Cricetulus griseus: one gene and its partner. Each later gene encodes a partner of the first gene's protein in a complex. Links are inferred from orthologs where the notes say so. Each region holds a gene or a part of one and is shown in the gene's direction. Other genes may lie near its edges.

Region 1 (3,500 bases):
TGTGTGTGTGTGTGTGTGTGTGTGTGTGTGTGTGTGTGTGTGTGTGTGTGTGTGTGTGTGTGTGTGTGTGTGTGTGTGTGTGTGTGTGTGTGTGTGTGTGTGTGTGTGTGTGTGTGTGTGTGTGTGTGTGTGTGTGTGTGTGTGTGTGTGTGTGTGTGTGTGTGTGTGTGTGTGTGTGTGTGTGTGTGTGTGTGTGTGTGTGTGTGTGTGTGTGTGTGTGTGTGTGTGTGTGTGTGTGTGTGTGTGTGTGTGTGTGTGTGTGTGTGTGTGTGTGTGTGTGTGTGTGTGTGTGTGTGTGTGTGTGTGTGTGTGTGTGTGTGTGTGTGTGTGTGTGTGTGTGTGTGTGTGTGTGTGTGTGTGTGTGTGTGTGTGTGTGTGTGTGTGTGTGTGTGTGTGTGTGTGTGTGTGTGTGTGTGTGTGTGTGTGTGTGTGTGTGTGTGTGTGTGTGTGTGTGTGTGTGTGTGTGTGTGTGTGTGTGTGTGTGTGTGTGTGTGTGTGTGTGTGTGTGTGTGTGTGTGTGTGTGTGTGTGTGTGTGTGTGTGTGTGTGTGTGTGTGTGTGTGTGTGTGTGTGTGTGTGTGTGTGTGTGTGTGTGTGTGTGTGTGTGTGTGTGTGTGTGTGTGTGTGTGTGTGTGTGTGTGTGTGTGTGTGTGTGTGTGTGTGTGTGTGTGTGTGTGTGTGTGTGTGTGTGTGTGTGTGTGTGGTGTGTGTGTGTGTGTGTGTGTGTGTGTGTGTGTGTGTGTGTGTGTGTGTGTGTGTGTGTGTGTGTGTGTGTGTGTTGTGTGTGTGTGTGTGTGTGTGTGTGTGTGTGTGTGTGTGTGTGTGTGTGTGTGTGTGTGTGTGTGTGTGTGTGTGTGTGTGTGTGTGTGTGTGTGTGTGTGTGTGTGTGTGTGTGTGTGTGTGTGTGTGTGTGTGTGGTGTGTGTGTGTGTGTGTGTGTGTGTGTGTGTGTGTGTGTGTGTGTGTGTGTGTGTGTGTGTGTGTGTGTGTGTGTGTGTGTGTGTGTGTGTGTGTGTGTGTGTGTGTGTGTGTGTGTGTGTGTGTGTGTGTGTGTGTGTGTGTGTGTGTGTGTGTGTGTGTGTGTGTGTGTGTGTGTGTGTGTGTGTGTGCAAGCACTTACTGACCTGGCATCAATGGGAGAGTGGTTTGCTGTGGAGAAGGGGAAGCCGATGCCGGCAGTCTTTGTTTTGGGTTAGTTACTTTTAGAAGTGTTCACGAGCCATTTGTGTGGCTACTGATACTGGATAGCTTCATGACGCTCTCTCCCAAGAGCCGGGAGTATGGACGAGCCCCTGCCTCTCACCACTAAAACTCGGTGAGCTCACTGTGAGGGAGCTTGAGTAGAAAGAGACCTATTCTAATGCCTGGGCTTTTAGCAAAGAGCACTTCATCCTCAGAATCAGGGTGAGGGACCAGCAAAGTGCCTGAGCCAGGCAGGCATCGAGGAGAGGGCAGCTCGAGCCCCCATGGATGGTAGTGTGTTTCAGTGTCTCCTTCCCTCCATTGCGTGGTGATAAACTTGTCCCACCCCTATTCAGAAGCAAGTACTTTGTGTTTTTGTCACATAATCAAGCAAAGTTAGGACTGCAGTCTAAAGGAATGATTTGCAATGAGTAATTTCTTTTTTTCTTTTTTCTTTTGGTTTTTTCGAGACAAGGTTTCTCTGTGTAGCTTTGGAGCCTATCCTGGCACTCGCTCTGGAGACCAGGCTGCCCTTGAACTCACAGAGATCCGCCTGCCTCTGCCTCCCAAGTGTTGGGATTAAAGGTGTGAGCCACCAATGCCCGGCAGCAGTTTCTTTAAGGAAAACGAATGAAGTATATACACAGGGATTCTGAAGTCCCATCTGTTTACTCAGCCTCAAATAGTGCTTGGTCTGGTCAGCCTGCTGGCTACTGGGTAACCTTCTGCTTTCTCTTGCAGATACAATGGAGAAGTAGGAGACATTGTAGTGGGGAGAATCACGGAGGTAAAGTTGCTGTTTTACAAAGTGAAGGAGGCTGGTGGCTCAGGGATGGGACCTTCATTCTGTGAAATGCTGTATGAAGAAGGTGCCCTGAGATGCTGCCTTACTCTTTCCTTACAGGTTCAACAGAAGAGGTGGAAAGTAGAGACAAATTCCAGGCTGGATTCTGTCTTGCTCCTCTCATCCATGAACCTGCCCGGAGGGGAGCTGGTGAGTGCTTGTCTGCCCTAGAACTGTCCAGTTGAGCTGTGGGGCTTTTGTTCCACCATAGAACTCGGTTTACACTGTTAATGTTTTGTCATGGGGTCTGCTAGCTTGGTGAACATAGGCTTTTTCTCCTGGCTCTGGTCACCTGACATAGGCAGCAACTAGTGTTTGGTAAGACCAGAAACACATGTGGAGTGGGCTCCCAAGATGGAGCTGGGGAGAGGGGCTCCTGAATCTTGGTGCTAATTTCCTTTCTTGGTGGGTTGGCATTCTTGTGGGTTACACAGGGAAGGTGTCTGTGAAATGTTGGCCTTTGCTTTCTTTTCTTTTCTTGAGGGTGGGCAGGAGGTTGGTGTTCAGACGGGGTTTCTCTGTGTAACCCTGGCTGTCCTGGAACTCACTCTGTAGACCAGGCTGGCCTTTAACTCACAGAGATCTGCCTGCCTCTGCCTGTCAAGTGCTGGGATTAAAGTCATGTGCCACTAAGCCCCACTTATCCTTAGTTTTCAGTGACTTGAATGCACATGGTTATTCTAGACAGTGAGCTGGATCCTATGGAGAGTGTCAGAATAAATAAGGCACATCTGAGTCCCTTAAAGAACTTATAGATTGGTGGAGGATAGGAGATAGCTGAACCACATGGGGAGGCAGGAAAAGAAAGAAACATGGAGAGCAGAGAGGGGTTGTTTCATAGGAGGGCCCTTGGGGGTCTGAGAGTTGGAGTGAGGTTGGGACTCAGATGAAGGGAGATACGTGAGCAGACACACAGCCTGGTGGAAGTGAGGGTAAGTGGGGAAACAGGCTCAGTGACCTGTAGAGGGTCTGGATGTTAGCCTAGGAGGGTCCCTCTTGGAGAGCTAGTATCACCTCCCTTGTTCTCCAGCAGTTGAGGTTACCTCTTGTCATAGTTCTTTATGTTAAAATACCATGGTGGGCTACACAGACCTCAAGCAAAAAGCAGGGATGGAAAGAGCTCCTCCTGAAAGTGAGGCTTGTGTCATGTGGTCATTTTTCCGTGTGTTTCAGAGGAGAAGATCTGCAGAGGATGAGCTGGCCATGAGAGGCTTCTTACAGGAAGGAGACCTCATCAGTGTATCCTGACTTACAGGGCTGCCAGCTGACCAGAGGGGTCTGAATTCTGGGTCATATGTCCAGGGCTTGGCTGAAGCTTTGCTCTTTCTCCTTAGCTCAGAACAGTACTCTGGGTTTTGTAACTTGTGACCCATGGTGCAAGCTAGACACAATTGTCTTTCTTTTTAAGGATAGCCCAGGCTGGCTTGGAACTCACTGTGTACCAGGCTAACCTCAAACACAGCACTGCTGTCTCAG
Region 2 (4,154 bases), on another chromosome or scaffold:
TCCTGCCTTAAAAAATAACATTGACAGGGGCTGGAGAGAGACCGACTGCTCTTCCAGAGGTCCTGAGTTCAGTTCCCAGCAACCACATGGTGGCTCATAGCCATCTATTATGAGATCTGATGCCCTCTTCTGGTGTGCAGAGATACATGGAAGCAGAATATTGTATACATAATAAATAAATAAAATCTTTTAAAAAAAATATGGGCTGGAGAGAGATGGCTCAGAGGTGAAGAGCACCGACTGCTCTTCCAGAGGCCCGAGTTCAGTTCCCAGCAACCACATGGTGGCTCACAGCCATCCGTAATGAGATCTGGTGCCCTCTTCTGGCAACAGGCATATGTGGAGGCAGAATGCTGTATATATAATAAATAAAATCTACAAAAAAAGGAATAATTTTTAAAAAACAACGTTGACAAAGGGTCCTGTGTGGATTTCTCCCTTCATGACATCAACCAACATACCCCGATGGCCTGTGACAGTGATCGCGCCCGGGCCCCCGCCTTCGCTTCTGATCGGGGACCGCAGGGGTCCAATCAGCTTCTTGCTCACCCAGCTTCACAAGTGGAGTTTTAAGTAACGGAATAAAGAAACGTGGGGCTGATCCTGGCCCACCCCACCCCCGGTTTTCTCCCTCTTCCCCTGACTCTTCTCTCCAAGGAGCGTCCGCGTCCTTTTCTTTCCTTCACGACCCGCACACACCGTAAGAGCAACCTCTGCGTCCGCAGCCACCTCGGGAGGGACCCCGTGGGGCCCAGGTACTTACGGATCTAGCCAAGCCCCGCGCCCCAGGCCGCCGCAGCGACAGGAGAGCAGCCAGGCCCCGGCTCTGTCTCCACATCGCCGCCGCCATCTCGCTCGATAGCCACGCCTCCTCTCTCCCCAGCTGGACCCGGGGCTGCCCCACCAGATGCCGTCCTCAAATGCCGGCACGGTCGGGCCAACAAGCGACTTCACTCCCACCGCCGTGAGTCCAAGACACGAACCTAAGTGCGCGTGCCGATTCTGATTATCCTCCGCCGTGGCTCTAGCCTTCCGCTTATAGCGGCTCCGATATCAGGCAGGAAAGGGACACCCTGACCACAGGCTCACGGGTTGAGGGCCGGGGGGCCTTGGGCGAGGTGGGCCTATTCCAAGACCCGCCCCCTCTCCTTTCTGGCCCAATGGCTTTGCGAGAATCGGGAGGCGGAGGCGGGGCGGGACCAGATTGTTAGTAAACGCTCAGCCACGTGCCAGGGACGAGTCAGGCGCCGCCCAGGCTGGCGCATGCGCAGCGGCCACGCAGCCGCTGCGAGCCGGGCCCGCGAGCCGGCGAGCCCGCGAGCGAGCGAGCGAGCCAGCGCGCGCGTGCGCACCACGGGGGCGGAAGCTACGGCCGCAGGCGGGGCGCGCGTGCTCGGCGGCGATGGAGATCGCGAAGCGTGCGGACGCCGAGCTGGGCGCTGGCACCGCCGCGGAGCCCGGCCCGCGGAGTCCCGGCTGCAGCCTCCGGCATTTCGCCTGCGAACAGAACCTGCTGTCCCGGCCGGATGGATCTGCTTCTTTCCTGCAAGGTAAAAAGAGCCTGATCCCCAGCCCCACTGTGGGGGGCTTGGGTTTCTTGGTTTTTGGGATTTTGGGGGGGACAGGGTTTCTCTGTGTAGCTTTGGAGCCTATCCTGGCACTCGCTCTGGAGACCAGGCTGGCCTCGAACTCACAGAGATCCGCCTGCCTCTGCCTCCCGAGTGCTGGGATTAAAGGCGAGCGCCACCAACGCCTGGTGGGGTTTGTTTTCTTTTCTTTTTTTTTTTTTTTTTTTGGAAGAGCGGTTACCGTGTAGTGTGCAACCGAGTGCGCCCATCTCTTTGAAAAGAAACGAAAAAACTATTTCTAGATACGTAGGAGGGGTCCACACCTCTTCCCCGACTCGAAAAAACAACCAAAAAAATATTTGATACGTCCAGCCTGGAAGGAATCAGGGGCAAGAGCACGCCCTAGGAAGAGTGGATATTCCAGAACAGGTGTAATTTCACCAAGGCGAATAGGCCCCTTGACTAGATTTCCTTCCACACACTTCTCCTGGATCGGTACACCTCCGGTTGAGGCTAAGGTGTTCGTTTGCATGCATTCCCTTTGAGAAGGACTTGTCATCGCCGCTGGGTCAAGTGCGGTGACAGCAGCAGATGACTTGGTCCACGCGAATGCCCTTCACATTGAACGTGATGATCCCCATTCTGGACCCACAGGTATCTCCCCTTCTCCCATCCCATCATTTGAGTAAATGTGTCTGTTGCTTGGTGTATTCATCTCATCAGTGTAAGTGATTGTAGAGAGAAAAGAGGCGTCTCACGACTGACACCCACACAACCCTGCCTCCACCCAATGCCGGTCAGCCAGCTTTGAGAGGTCGTGGGAGTGTGAGGAGCTATCAAAAGTAGACAGATTGGGCCGGGCGTTGGTGCCGCACACCTTTAAATACCAGCACTTGGGAGGCAGAGGCAGAGGCAGGCGGATCTCTGTGAGTTCTAGGCCAGCCTGGTCTCCAGAGCGAGTTCCAGGACAGCCTCCAAAGCTACACAGAGAAACCCTGTCTCGAAAAACCAAAAAAAAAAAAAAAAGATGCCCCAGCAGACTACCCTACAGGCCAGTCTGATGGAGGCAGTTCCTCAGTTGAGATTCCCACCTTTCAGATCTGTCTAACTTGTGCTGAGTTGACAAAACTAGCCAGCGTAGTATCTTCACTTAAAAACAGGATTCATAAAAATGGGGTACGTTCCCCAGGGAGGTAGAGGCAAGGCCAGGTTCACTCAGCTACATAGCAGGTTCAAGGCCAGCTTAGACTGTCTAGGGCCTGATCCCAGAAAATCCAACAGTGAAAACCTACAGAGCCCATGAGCCTGTCACCTGCCTTTGTTGGCTAGCCATCTTGTTTTTTTGTTTTGTTTTTCCCTTTGGACTTTGCACATGCTAGCATCCCTAACCCCTTGGGTTTTGTTGTTTTGTTTTTGTTTGTTTGTTTGTTTTATGGCTCTCCCTGGTGCCTGAGGAGGTCGGAAGAGTATGTTGGGTCCCCTGGAACTGTGGTTACAAACCTTTGTGAATCGTCTTCTACAAGAGCGACAAGTGCTCTTAATTGCTGAGCCATCTCTCCAGCCCACCTGTGATTCACTTATACACATGCATTTACCAGTTTGGAGTTGTGGTATAGAGTGTATTGGTCATTGGGCATTACGGTCAAAATCATGTGGAAACCACTGTTTGAGTGCAGTGTCTTCACTTTGTAGATGGCTTCTCTGTAGCCCACAGAGGTTATCAAAATCACACAAGGGCCTGGAATAGGCAATCAGGGCTAGAAGCCAGGCTTTTTTTCCTCCAGACCCATTTATGCCATTCTGGGAAAATGAGCAGAGATTAAGATCCCTACCCAACGCAACTACAGACCCTTTTTTGTTTGTTTTTTGTAAGGCCTTTTAAAATATTTTTAATAGTATATATTAATTATATGTAACAATGGATTTCTTTTTGGTTGGTTTATGAGATAGTCTTGTGTAGTTCAGGGTGGCCTCGAACTCAGTATGGAGCCAAGGATGACCTTGAATTCCTGACCCTCCCGTCTCTGCCTCCCAGACACTGGGAGGATATACGTGTGTGTGCCTGTGTGTACGGGTGCCCAAGAAGGGCAGAAGAGGGTGTCCATACCTTGGAGCTGAGTTACAAGGTGATTATGAGCAGCCTGCGGGTGCCGGGAACTGCATTCTAGGCTTCTGGAAGAGCAGTGTGGGTGCCGACCTGCTGAGCTATCTCTCCAGCCCCAACTGCTTCTAAAAACTCACCAGTAGCTGAAGTCTGGGCTGGGCTCTGGACTCACTGGCCAGCATCCTGTGTTTCAAGTATCTGTATCTTTTTAAAATGGGTATTTATTTGATCTTGTTGTGTGACACTGAGAGACTGGGCTTACTGCTTCTGTGAGCCACTGTCATGTGATCTTGACAAAAGTGCCTCGAGGGAAGGACTGCAGTAGTCTCCAGTTACAGATGAGAAGGCAGAGAAGAGAGTTGGTGTGGCAGAGGCCTCTGCTGATGTCTCCCCAGGTGACACCTCTGTCCTGGCTGGAGTGTACGGGCCAGCCGAGGTGAAGGTCAGCAAAGAAATCTTCAACAAGGCCACACTCGAAGTGA

What was found. The genes of interacting proteins can lie anywhere in the genome.
Region 2: Exosc2 (region 1) and Exosc5 share a complex: the UniProt entries of both Homo sapiens proteins name them as parts of the RNA exosome core complex. The link is inferred for Cricetulus griseus from reciprocal best matches to the Homo sapiens genes EXOSC2 and EXOSC5.

What each region holds. Positions count from the first base shown.
Region 1 is NC_048599.1:143,396,339-143,399,838, forward strand, and holds part of Exosc2 (exosome complex component RRP4), read left to right. Parts: intron 1-1,921; coding exon 1,922-1,967; intron 1,968-2,084; coding exon 2,085-2,174; intron 2,175-3,197; coding exon 3,198-3,263; intron 3,264-3,500. UniProt on the Homo sapiens protein: Non-catalytic component of the RNA exosome complex which has 3'->5' exoribonuclease activity and participates in a multitude of cellular RNA processing and degradation events.
Region 2 is NC_048602.1:9,460,904-9,465,057, reverse strand, and holds the start of Exosc5 (exosome complex component RRP46), read left to right. Parts: upstream 1-1,354; 5' UTR 1,355-1,402; coding exon 1,403-1,550; intron 1,551-4,067; coding exon 4,068-4,154. Other genes in the region: Bckdha (2-oxoisovalerate dehydrogenase subunit alpha, mitochondrial), read right to left, coding at 764-850. UniProt on the Homo sapiens protein: Non-catalytic component of the RNA exosome complex which has 3'->5' exoribonuclease activity and participates in a multitude of cellular RNA processing and degradation events.